Bombyx mori: one gene and its partner. The protein of the gene in region 2 purifies or fractionates together with the protein of the main gene of each other region. This does not show direct contact. Links are inferred from orthologs where the notes say so. Each region holds a gene or a part of one and is shown on either strand. Other genes may lie near its edges.

Region 1 (5,400 bases), on a different chromosome or scaffold from region 2:
CAAGAGGATGAACAGGAAGAAGAAGGAGAAGAAGATCAAGAAGAAGAAGAAACAGAAATCTTGGACAGTTATGAATCAGACGACTAACTTTTTATTTTAAGTATTTTATTTAATTACACCGCCGTTGTTTTTGCCCACTATAATATATAATATTATTTTGCAATAGTTTTAAAACATATAAAATCTCAGCAGACCCGTGGAATAGGCCTACTGGGGAAACCACGTTAAAAAAAACGCGCTTTGTGTACCTCATAGGTGGCGTGGAAACGTGTGCAAAATAGAGGGATTACGACTGATCCAACTTTTCGGAACGTTATATCTCCAAAATGGTGGCTTTTAGGAAAAAAATTATTGATATATTTTTTGTAGAGAATTTTGTGATCTACAATTTTGTACTGGGGTAATTTTGCGAAAAAACTCACCGTTTCGCTAAAAATCGCAAAAAACTCATTTTTTGACCTTTGACCCCGTGCCAAATTTTTAGCACACCTCGGAACGATGAGGACTTTTGAGATTTTCTTTATAATGATGTTTTGAACAACTATGCCAATATTCAGCTTTATGGGAATTTATGTAAACTTGAATGTGTAAATAGACCGGACTATTAGACCGTACCCAATATCGTATCAATCGATGAACGATAAGAAGATTTGACTAGGTTCAAAATAGGGTAGGGCGTATATCAGCGTGAACGAGTTCATCTACAACAAAGCTATATAGAAGAGTGTGAATCGAGACCCACGGTACAATACGAAAGGAAAAAAGGTCCAAAGTCAAATATAAGAATAAATAATATAAGAAAAATAGAGTGCAAAATAGTAAAAACAATGCGCATGTGCGTGGAGTACGGATTGATAACGGTGAACTATTTTGTGGTTTTTATTTTCTATGTTTTCGACCCCTAGATCAGTGTGCTTTGTGCGAGTTTTTTAACGTTCTCGATAGCGTAAAAGTTAACTCAAATCTGTATGCAATTGGAACAGCGCCCCTAGCGGCAGACGTAGGCAAACGTTCCAATTCCATACAAATTTGCATTAACTTTTACGCTATCGAGAAAAACTCGCACTAACCACACTAGTCGATCAATAAGCGTATCTTTGGTTTAAAATTGTTCAATGTTTCTCGAATCTCAGCTCCTAGCAATATAGAATAGATAATAATTAGAAAATTGAACTTACTTTAAATAGATGTGACCACGCTGGCGTCCTATTCTTGCCAGACATTTCGACGTCAGTGTAACCCACAGCATCTTTGTACAGTCCACAGGCAGTGAGCCTCGACTCAGGGTAGGCCAGTTCTATGAGACCGAGACAGACTTGGCGTAACGTTCTGCAGAGACCGCCAAGTTCCGAGAACTCAAACGCGTGAATCCTGCCACCCCCACCGCCGGCGTTCAACACTATTGAAAAACATCGAATGATGATAAATACTTATCTCTGGATATTTTATTTCGTTGTTATTTTGAGCCACGTTAGTGAAGTCGTACGTGAGTGATACTGTATATATACCGCCGCGCAAAATGTGATACAAGATGGTCGTGTGCTATGCTTAATCGAGTTTTAAATAGGCAGGTTCGTCGACCTATGCCGGGTCAAACATGCTACACTATATGAGATGAGATGTTTTTCGGGAACCTTTTAAACACGTGTAAAAATACTGGTACGCCTGAATCGTAATACGTATTCTAATATTTTAGCCAACAGCAATAAAGAACCAGACGATTTAAATCCTGGACCAAGCTGAATCAAGCGGAACTTCATTGCGCTGAAATATCATTTGGGACAAACTTAAAGGACGAGCTGGTCATAGATTATAGCATAACATTATACTACACAACGATTTACCACAGATGACATAATGCTTCAGATGTGTGACCAATTTGTGGTGAAAAATATTACTAAATGCTATTTAGAAACTTAAGTTCAATAATTCAACTTACACAAAAAATTACATCAAAAGTTAGCTTTAACTGAATTAAGGTCTACTAACAACTTGATATCAGCAAATTGAGAATGATCATTTGATATCAGCAAATTGAGAATGATGATTTGTAGGCAGCGGCTTGGCTCTGCCCCTGGCATTGCTGAAGTCCATGGGCGACGGTAACCACTCACCATCAGGTGGGCCGTATGCTCGTCTGCCTACAAGGGCAATAAAAAAAAAAAAAAAAAAAAAAAAAAAATTTTTACATCGAAAGAGACACAATTTATTATAAAAAACGGTCGTTTGGTTATTTATGTATATATAGATTTTTATAAAGTACAACAAAAGGCATATTAAACTTACCGCTCATTTTCTCATCATCGTCCATATCTTTGCAGAACTCCGTATCGTGTAAGGTTCCGATTAATAGCGAGAACAAGGCGCAGAAGACAGCCAAAGGTGCCAGTAGTCTATGAACACCTATCACAGAAGTTTCGGCACCCATACCGCGGGACAACGCAGACAGGAGAGACGTGGACGAACCACCGAACGAGGAAGCGTGGTTCATATTACTCAACCAGCGCCATAGACCTCGTAAGAATATCGGTTTAAATGCTAGCGTATACAATAACCTAAAAACAATAGCCTATTTCAGGTTTACAAAGAACTAAAGCCAGAAAAAAAGCATATACTTTACTGCGTAGTTTAGTTTAAAAGCTCACAGCTTATGGCTGTCCCACTCTTCAAACCAAAATGGCGGACGCTTTTACGGCAGAAATAGGCAACTCGGTGGACCAACCCAAATGGTCTTATAATACGTCCTACCACCCTCAGTTAACACTTTACCTTCGAAAGCTTTACTGAAACTTCGCAACTAATTTGCTAGTATAAACTTTTTCTTCAATTTAAAACTATTTCATTCATTATTAATTAATTATTATGCTATATGACATTGACATACTATATAATAAAGTTATGCCCTATATAACATATTTAGCATAATAATAGTATACATGTTATTTAAGTAATTATTGTAATCAGATAATTTGTTTTGACATTTAATCACCTGCAAGAATTAAGAAGGGAAACCCTATTCCTATTCTGCGAAGGTTATTTTCGTACAAAATGTTTACGGCCGAATGTGAAAATTGACATTATTCATTGAATATAGACTAAATATGACATGATGCAGATTAACTAGAAATAATATTTTTATGTTTTTCATTAACAATTACCTGTACTTATGCAAAGCCATACGATGACTCAAAAGCAAATTGTGACAGATCTCAGACATGTACTCTAAAAATTCTTCACTTAAATCATTATCTGTTATTTGAGATATGGTGACCATAATGCATCTTTCTGGATCATTCAATAATTCAATACACCGCGTCAGCAGCATCTGTTCACGAATAGAGGTGGGATTCGGTTCGGTTTCGCTGTCACTTTCATCATCTTTGTCCGCTGCAGTTTCTTGACTGTACAGTGAGTCTTCAAATTCGTAGGTGATTTGTTTGTTGCACACATTCTCAGTCAATCTAGCTATTACCTTAAGGTATTCTATTACTATTCTATTGCTTGGCAATCTTGTATTGTCAATATTTTTTATTTCACTTACTGTAAAAAATATTTCATATTTAGCTGTGTTAGGAACGAGCAACTTGGTTAAGTAAATGCAATGGCAGCTGATGTCACATCAAAAATGGAAATATTCCATGTCATAATGTTTGACATTAATATTCTGATCTCTCTAGTGATTATATCTGTTTTAACTGTAGACTTCATGATATACAATACACTCACAAATTTAATATTCATGTCAATGAACTACATATTAGTGCCTTATATAAACAAGTCTATAAACTCTGTGTGGTCTCTTAACATCGAAACAAAATAACTGCTGGCATAAGAGATCGTCGGCATCAACAAGTTTGTACTATAGTCCTGCCAATCGCTAAATAATCATCTGTTCCAGTTTTAATGTAGTCTAAATCCAGTATCTAAGTACTTATCATTAGATAGGCTGTGAAATAATATAGGCAAATTGGCATTTATTGAATTGCTATTTATGCCATGAATTTTTAGTTAGATTTTAAAGCAATAACAATATCATCAATACTTACTAAATTGCTTTGGCTCTAAAACCAAAACCGAATGCAATAACCAAGAATCGTTTATAATCTTTTTACTATGATATTTGTTGTCGTCTTGTAAACACTTTATTAATGCTAAGAATGATAGTTTCTTTGTGGTATCCTGTGCTAGAGATGGTAATATAAACATTTCTACTGGTTCTGGATACGGATTGCACAAAAATGCCGCAGTAAACTCTGTTGTTACTGTATCTCTGAAACAAAATAAATACTTGTCAATATTGAACCCTCGGATTTTAATATAGAGTGCTAAAACCAAAACTGTTCTATGGCAAAGTTTTTACAAATACAATACCTTCCAATAAAGTAAACATACAACTTTTTCCTGTAATCATCATTGTTTTTGCATCTTGTAAAACATAACAAAACAGAAGGTCAAAGGGGAATATTATTTCATTGCTTATCTTCTTTGGCTCTTATGTAAAATACTGTGTAGGTATATAAAAAATATCTTCTGTATAATTACCTTGAAAAGAACTTACTACGAATAAAATTTGCAAAGCTGTATAAGATATAGAGATAATATATATTTATGATTTATGATATGATATATATTTATGTTGCCCTGGAAGATACACAAGCATATGGCTCACCTGATTAGTCATAGTCATGAGGAGTACCAGGGAAACAGCCAAAATGCTACTTATCATTATTTCAGTTAAAATTAATATTATAAAATAAATAATAAGCAACTTACTCATACTGAGGAATGTTCACTCGCAGGATCAGTGACAGAGGGCGCTGAATTAACTCTAAAAGTGCTCCGCTTAATGGGGTGGGTGGGTTTGGTGATGGACCATACATTGGTGGGGTCTTTTCACATATTAATTTACACAGATCCATGAAATAGCCTGAAAAATTATAAAAAAGTACAAGATCAAAGATCATGTTTTTTTTTTAACTTTTACTGAAGTCTTTATTGCTATCATCTTCATCACAATATTTATTGAGTTTTAACAACAAATGAAAGCTGATTATTTTAAGAAAGAAAATTTAGGTAATTTAGTGTCAGAAAACTATGTTAATGAATTATTAATATCTCTTTCTTATAAAACTTGTTGAAACTGTTGAATGTTAATTTGAGTTGTTATGCCAACAATAGCATGATGTGTATAAACATACCTCTTTTAATTAAATACAAGAATGTATTGGCAACAAATCTCAGTGCCTCATCACAGTTCATTGCTGCTTCTACTGTACTAGTGGATGTGAATACTTCAAACATTCTGAGTGGAACTGCTAAAGGCACCTGGAACATTGATTTTTTAAATACCATCTATACTAAGGGTTCCCAAACTTATTTTGTGTACTGCCCACTTTGAGA
Region 2 (5,587 bases):
AGCACGCAGCCCGCTCACGACCACGAGCAGTATCAGTTCAGGACAAATGATGCAGCCATACACTTCTAGATAACTGCAAGTTTTGTTTCAGAAGGGTGCAGTAAGCAAGGTGACAAAAAAATCTAATTTATTGAATGAAGGGTTTGTCACTAACTTACACAATACTCAGTGCCTAAATCTGAGCACAATCGAAAACTACTTTTCTTTAAATATTGCTAACAATAACCAATTTAAGATGAATGTAAATTATTCATACAGTCCCAAGTCAAAGCAATTAGACAATAACTTCTATTTCAACTAATCAATTAAATGTTATATATCCAAACACATTATTTCTTGTATTTTTTTATTTTTACATTAATTCCTAAATTATGTGAACCATTTTAGTGTATAAGCTTGCTTGCACCAGTCACAGTCTTGTCTAATTTTCGTAGAACAATTGTATGTTCCCGTTTGAAGACTGTTATACCAAAGCTAACATAAATACATTGTAATGTTCATTTTCTCTATTTTAATGTCAAGATCTTGTGGCTTTGATATACATGTTTATATCTACAGTAGTCAAAAATACATTGTTCATAAATTTCACTAAACAGCAATATTGTATATTAGATAGATTGGAAGCCACAATGGGAGTAATGAGTCCATTTGGTTCCCAATATTTCAAAAGCACAACATGAGTAATCGTAGTTGAGTAATAGAATTTGTTTAGAAATCATAGTATTATTGTGATGAAAAGTTGTTAAGAATCTTTTTTATATTTTTGTCTTTTAAGCTATTTTTATAATAAAGTACCTGAAAAATTAAATAGCACTTATTATTACAGTTTTGGTCGGTGAGTCATGCAACATTGATGGCACTCCTCTGATAGCAGAGAGGCACATTAAGCTGATAATTAATTCAAGCTGCTATCATGATTTTATTGAGTTTATACGAGAAGAGTTGAGTAGCAAATTTTTCAGTCAGTGGACCTGTCTGATTTGTATGTTGTGTCGGTTGCAACCATGCTGCTACAGTGAGGGTAGATCTTTCATTCATAAACTGCATGCACGCACACACATGCAAGTCTTCCCTCGAACACAGTAGCAAGTGATAGGGCCAGAGCCATCAATTTTAATATTTATTTTATTTACCTTGAGGTGAGGAGGGAGTGTCTTAAAGAGAATTGGATTAACTGTGTGAATGAAGAGTATGAGTTCAAGAGATAACATATGATAAGCTTTGACTAAAAAAATAAGTGTGGGAAAGTGACTGTTGTACTATAGAACTGGGACTCATCTCAAAGTGGACAATGGAGTCGAATACAGAGCACTCCATCTATGAACTTTTATTCATTGTGGTTTATTCAGAGAGAGGCAGTATTGAACAATTCATTACAAAATATGTTAGATGCTGTTCAAGATAAACTGTGATCTTCTATCAATAAAACATGTATCCAGGTAACTAATGTTTCAAAGGATGTTCTAAAAATAAAACTGTTTGTAAAAAATCACATTTATTATTATTTAATTACAACTAAGCTAAAATTAAGATTTCTGATCCTTCAGTTTTTCCAGTTGTTGCCTGAAATGAAATAAAATTGTTTCAGATATAATTTACATTTGGTAACTGCTCTCCAGCAGTCCATACTCATCATATGTAATGACTAATAATGTTAGAAACATAAGTACCAACAACTAATTATCTTAAAAGATTATACAGTACATGAGAGTCATTGCAAACCAGCGCAGATCGTCCCATTCGTGCCTTCCTGCAGCAATGTACTAAAGGAGGCTGATTTCTATGGAAAGCATGTATCTAACTCAAACTAGACTTCAGTATTATATTTCAGAGTGGCCAATTGAGTTCCTATTATGGTCTCTATGTGCTTTAATTACTGATACTAAGTGCATACTCTTATATAACCAGAAATATCAATATTTATAAAAAATATTCAATCTATCTTTTTACACAAGATTTATAAATTTGAAACAAGTTTCAATGCTAATTGTATGTACTAGATGACATTTCAACTAAAGATTGATTGCTGTAACATCAACATAAAGGTATTTAATAATATTTAGAGCAAACAAGAGGCATGTTCCTGCTGTAAAATAAAATAAAAACTAGGTGCGTTCGAGGCACGAGACAAATTAAAAATATAAATTTATAAAATTTTGTTTTAAGGTTTGGGTTTTAAATAGTTCTAGAACTTAAAATATAGCTTACTGTACTATAATATTAAATGAAGTCACATCAGTAGTGTTCGCTTAGAATTTACTGGTGATAGGAGCTCTTGTGAGTATGTACGGGTAGGCATCACCACCCTTCTGCCGTAAAGCATTTCAGTTTGAAGGGTAGGGCAGCCGTTGTAACAATACTGAGACATTACACGGGCGGCATTAACGTTGTAGATGTCTATGGGCTCCAGTAACCACTTAACGCCAGGTGGGCTGTAAGCTTGACCACCCATGTAAGCAATAAAAAAACATGGACATTTATTCAGATAGCATAAATATATAATGGAGAACAGAAGCTTGGTCCTTATTATTCTAAATTTAATCAGAAACAATACTGTCTACGATTTGCTACCAAAAGGTTCTTGGCTACTTTGGTCATATTTCTCAGCGGCCACCAAACAACCTTGAAAAATTGTCTGTAGTGGGCAAGGTAGAAGGGAAAAGACAGCCGGCCGGCCGCCGAACTGTTGGTCGGATCAGGTAACCGCGCTGATCGAACTCTCTGTTGCGACCGCCCTGAGAGAAGCCGAAAACCGAACGAAATGGAAGCTGATGGTACAAAGAGCCACGAAGGCCTTTCAGGGACATGACCTTCAGCAATGGGGTATGCGATTAAGAAGAAGAATCAAATACGACAGCAATTGGGCCCATATGAAGGTAACAGAAATCTTTAAGATCTAACCTCAACTGCTGATTAAAATCATCTTGGATGACGTCGTCTTCCCAGTTGTCTTCCCAAACCGATACATCTTCATCATCAGCGTCTTCTGTACCCCAATCTACAAGAAAATTTGAATTAAAATAGAATGAATGAAAACATTTTTTGTTAATTTCTTAATATTCTTCATCTGGAGGTTTACGTACTTTCCGCGGGAAATTCTTCGAACTCGTCATCCTCTTCTAGCAAACCAAGGTCTACTTTCTGTTTGTCAGCCATTACACTGTGATGATTATTGAAATAAGGAAATATCACTTAATGTAGCAGAATAAATAAGATGCAAGTCACAACACAACTGTCACGTAAAATGTAAATTCACAACAATAAACAGTGTTGCCAGATGACCGTGCGAATTTCCCCCCAACTTTTTTCGAAAACCCCCCGAAAATAGGCTTTTTGAAGAAAAAAACCCCCAAAACAGTTTTTACTTATTTTAAAGAAGAAATAAAAAACCAAAAGGATTCTTTTATTTTTTAATCAAGCTATCCCTATAACTTCAACCATCTCTAAGCAATTATCACGATCATATTCACTTTCGTTATTATTATTTAAAGCATACTCGTTTTCGAAGTTAAAGATATTTAACAAGTCCGATGTGGGAACAAAATTTATACATCTATTTGGCAGTGAAGATCGAATCCTGAGAACCGCTTCGGCAGTTTCTATTGCTATTTGGTTGCATTATTTGTCCTTTATAATATTGACTTGTAAATAGTATAGTAGACTATAATTATTCTAATAGTAATTGCAAATTGATACTCAAAAAACCTCCGAAACTTCTCCCAACTAACTTTTTCCCCCCGAATGTCCCCCCAAAGAATCTTTCTCCCCCAGAGTCGAAAAACCCCCCAAATTTGCAGGGAATCCCCCCCATCTGGCAACTGTGACAATAAATTTTGATGTCAGAACAACGTGGTGCTGCCTGTATTGTGGTTGTTTTTTCCGAATTTAGAAATATTTAAGCAACTAGGTATTTGTTTTCACATAATATATTTCATCTCTTTTCCACCATGGTACCCCATGTCACCGTAGTAGAGTTAATTCATAGTACTTTTTTATATCTTTATGTAATATCTTTTTTGCCATACACCATCTGGCTTTGGAAATAACTTTTCTGTACGATGCTTCCTGAGCGCAATGTCTTATTCTTCTTAAAACGAGTGTTGATAACACTACTACAAAGACAATAAAAAGGGACATATTCCGTTTGCACTTAAATTTGATTCGAACAATCTCCACCTTTAAAAAAACGAGTTCATCTTAATAGTTTTCTTTACCTAATGCAGAAAAATTATCAAATCAAAAAGGATCTGAAATCCCTTCATTGTTGAACCCTTTTTTAAAAAAAAAAAATCCTAATCGTACTCAAGGTTGGAACCTTGAGTGTTAGTCGTGGAGCCGGTTAAATTAATATAATTGAAGTGTGAATGAGTAACCTAATTTTGCCGCAAGAAAAACAATTACAAAATCTGTGTACTTAAAAGTATTGCAAGAAGTATTTCTACTTGCGTGTCCTAACTAACATCATCGACGATTCATTTGGTATCCGAATCGTGAAAGTATAACTTTTGTGTTCAAAGTTGAGCTTTCTATCTTTTTATTTTATTGTACTAGTATTAATGATTAATACTTTAGCTGCCTTCTTGTTCACAAACACGAACATAACTTACCTACTCTGTTTATCATTGTAGGCAATGAAACAACTTAATAACCTTACACTCGTTTATTTTTAAAATATTGTCGGAGGATAAACAAAGTACTTAACTTATTAATAACATCGCTTTTTATTATTATTTAAGATATTACAATATAAATATAAAATCACAAAATATCACATAGAAATGTGTTTTCAGACTATAGGTAAATAACATGGTAAATATTTTATACATATACTTAGTATTTACTCAAATTTCCAGTTCCAATTGAAATAATACATTATATAGTAAGGTAATAATAGAAAAAGACAAAAAACAAGCAACAATTTAGATTTTGTTGTATAAAATTTATTTTAAGATGAAAACTATTTTTGGGAATAAATTAAAATCATGCCCCATTTTTTTTATTTCTATACAAAAATGAATCCATGCATTTTGCATACCAAATCTGAGTAACGAACAGGACTATAAAAATGTATAGGATTCCAATAATTTCTTTACAAAAATTGTCTCCTGTCGTGTTTTACTACTAAAAACTTAATATAAAAGATATGTATACTTTATAGTAAAATGTAGATACTTATAATACGTCTCAAAATGAAACATGTTTCGATCTAACATAATATATAAAAAAATGTAAATATTGTCGAGATCGAAATAAAAAAACTAACAAAATAATGTTTCGTCCACGATCTGAAATTAAGCGTTACAATTTTACAAATCTTTAATTTCCCATAAAATAATGGGAACTCCTACAGTACAAGGAAAGTAATATAAATGTGGCAGCACCAACAACCTTCTTAATTTTAATTTGACAAAGGCACCTATCGCGCTCGGCCACCTAAAAGGACCACATCCCTGATTATTTTGTCCAAAAATTAATGATAATTTACGATTTAACGACATTCAAAAAGCAGGTAGTGGTGAAGAGTTTTAGGTATTTCCATAGTTTTGACCGCGTGGGGGAAGGAGGGGCCGAACTGTTTCCGGAGGAA

The links. The genes of interacting proteins can lie anywhere in the genome.
Region 1: the proteins of 26S proteasome complex subunit SEM1 (region 2) and ubiquitin-protein ligase E3C purify together in Homo sapiens (affinity purification with western blotting; 3 studies listed by BioGRID and IntAct, with this or other methods). This does not show direct contact. The link is inferred for Bombyx mori from reciprocal best matches to the Homo sapiens genes SEM1 and UBE3C.

Annotation. Positions count from the first base shown.
Region 1 is NC_085111.1:13,500,657-13,506,056, forward strand, and holds part of ubiquitin-protein ligase E3C, read right to left. Parts: intron 5,326-5,400; coding exon 5,199-5,325; intron 4,928-5,198; coding exon 4,774-4,927; intron 4,271-4,773; coding exon 4,047-4,270; intron 3,541-4,046; coding exon 3,159-3,540; intron 2,556-3,158; coding exon 2,287-2,555; intron 1,400-2,286; coding exon 1,179-1,399; intron 1-1,178. UniProt on the Homo sapiens protein: E3 ubiquitin-protein ligase that specifically catalyzes 'Lys-29'- and 'Lys-48'-linked polyubiquitin chains.
Region 2 is NC_085129.1:15,971,871-15,977,457, forward strand, and holds 26S proteasome complex subunit SEM1, read right to left. Parts: upstream 3,229-5,587; 5' UTR 3,157-3,228; coding exon 3,084-3,156; exon of another isoform or gene 2,999-3,083; coding exon 2,832-2,998; 3' UTR 1,479-2,831; downstream 1-1,478. Other genes in the region: importin subunit alpha-5, read left to right, coding at 1-69; ankyrin-3, read right to left, coding at 5,489-5,587. UniProt on the Homo sapiens protein: Component of the 26S proteasome, a multiprotein complex involved in the ATP-dependent degradation of ubiquitinated proteins.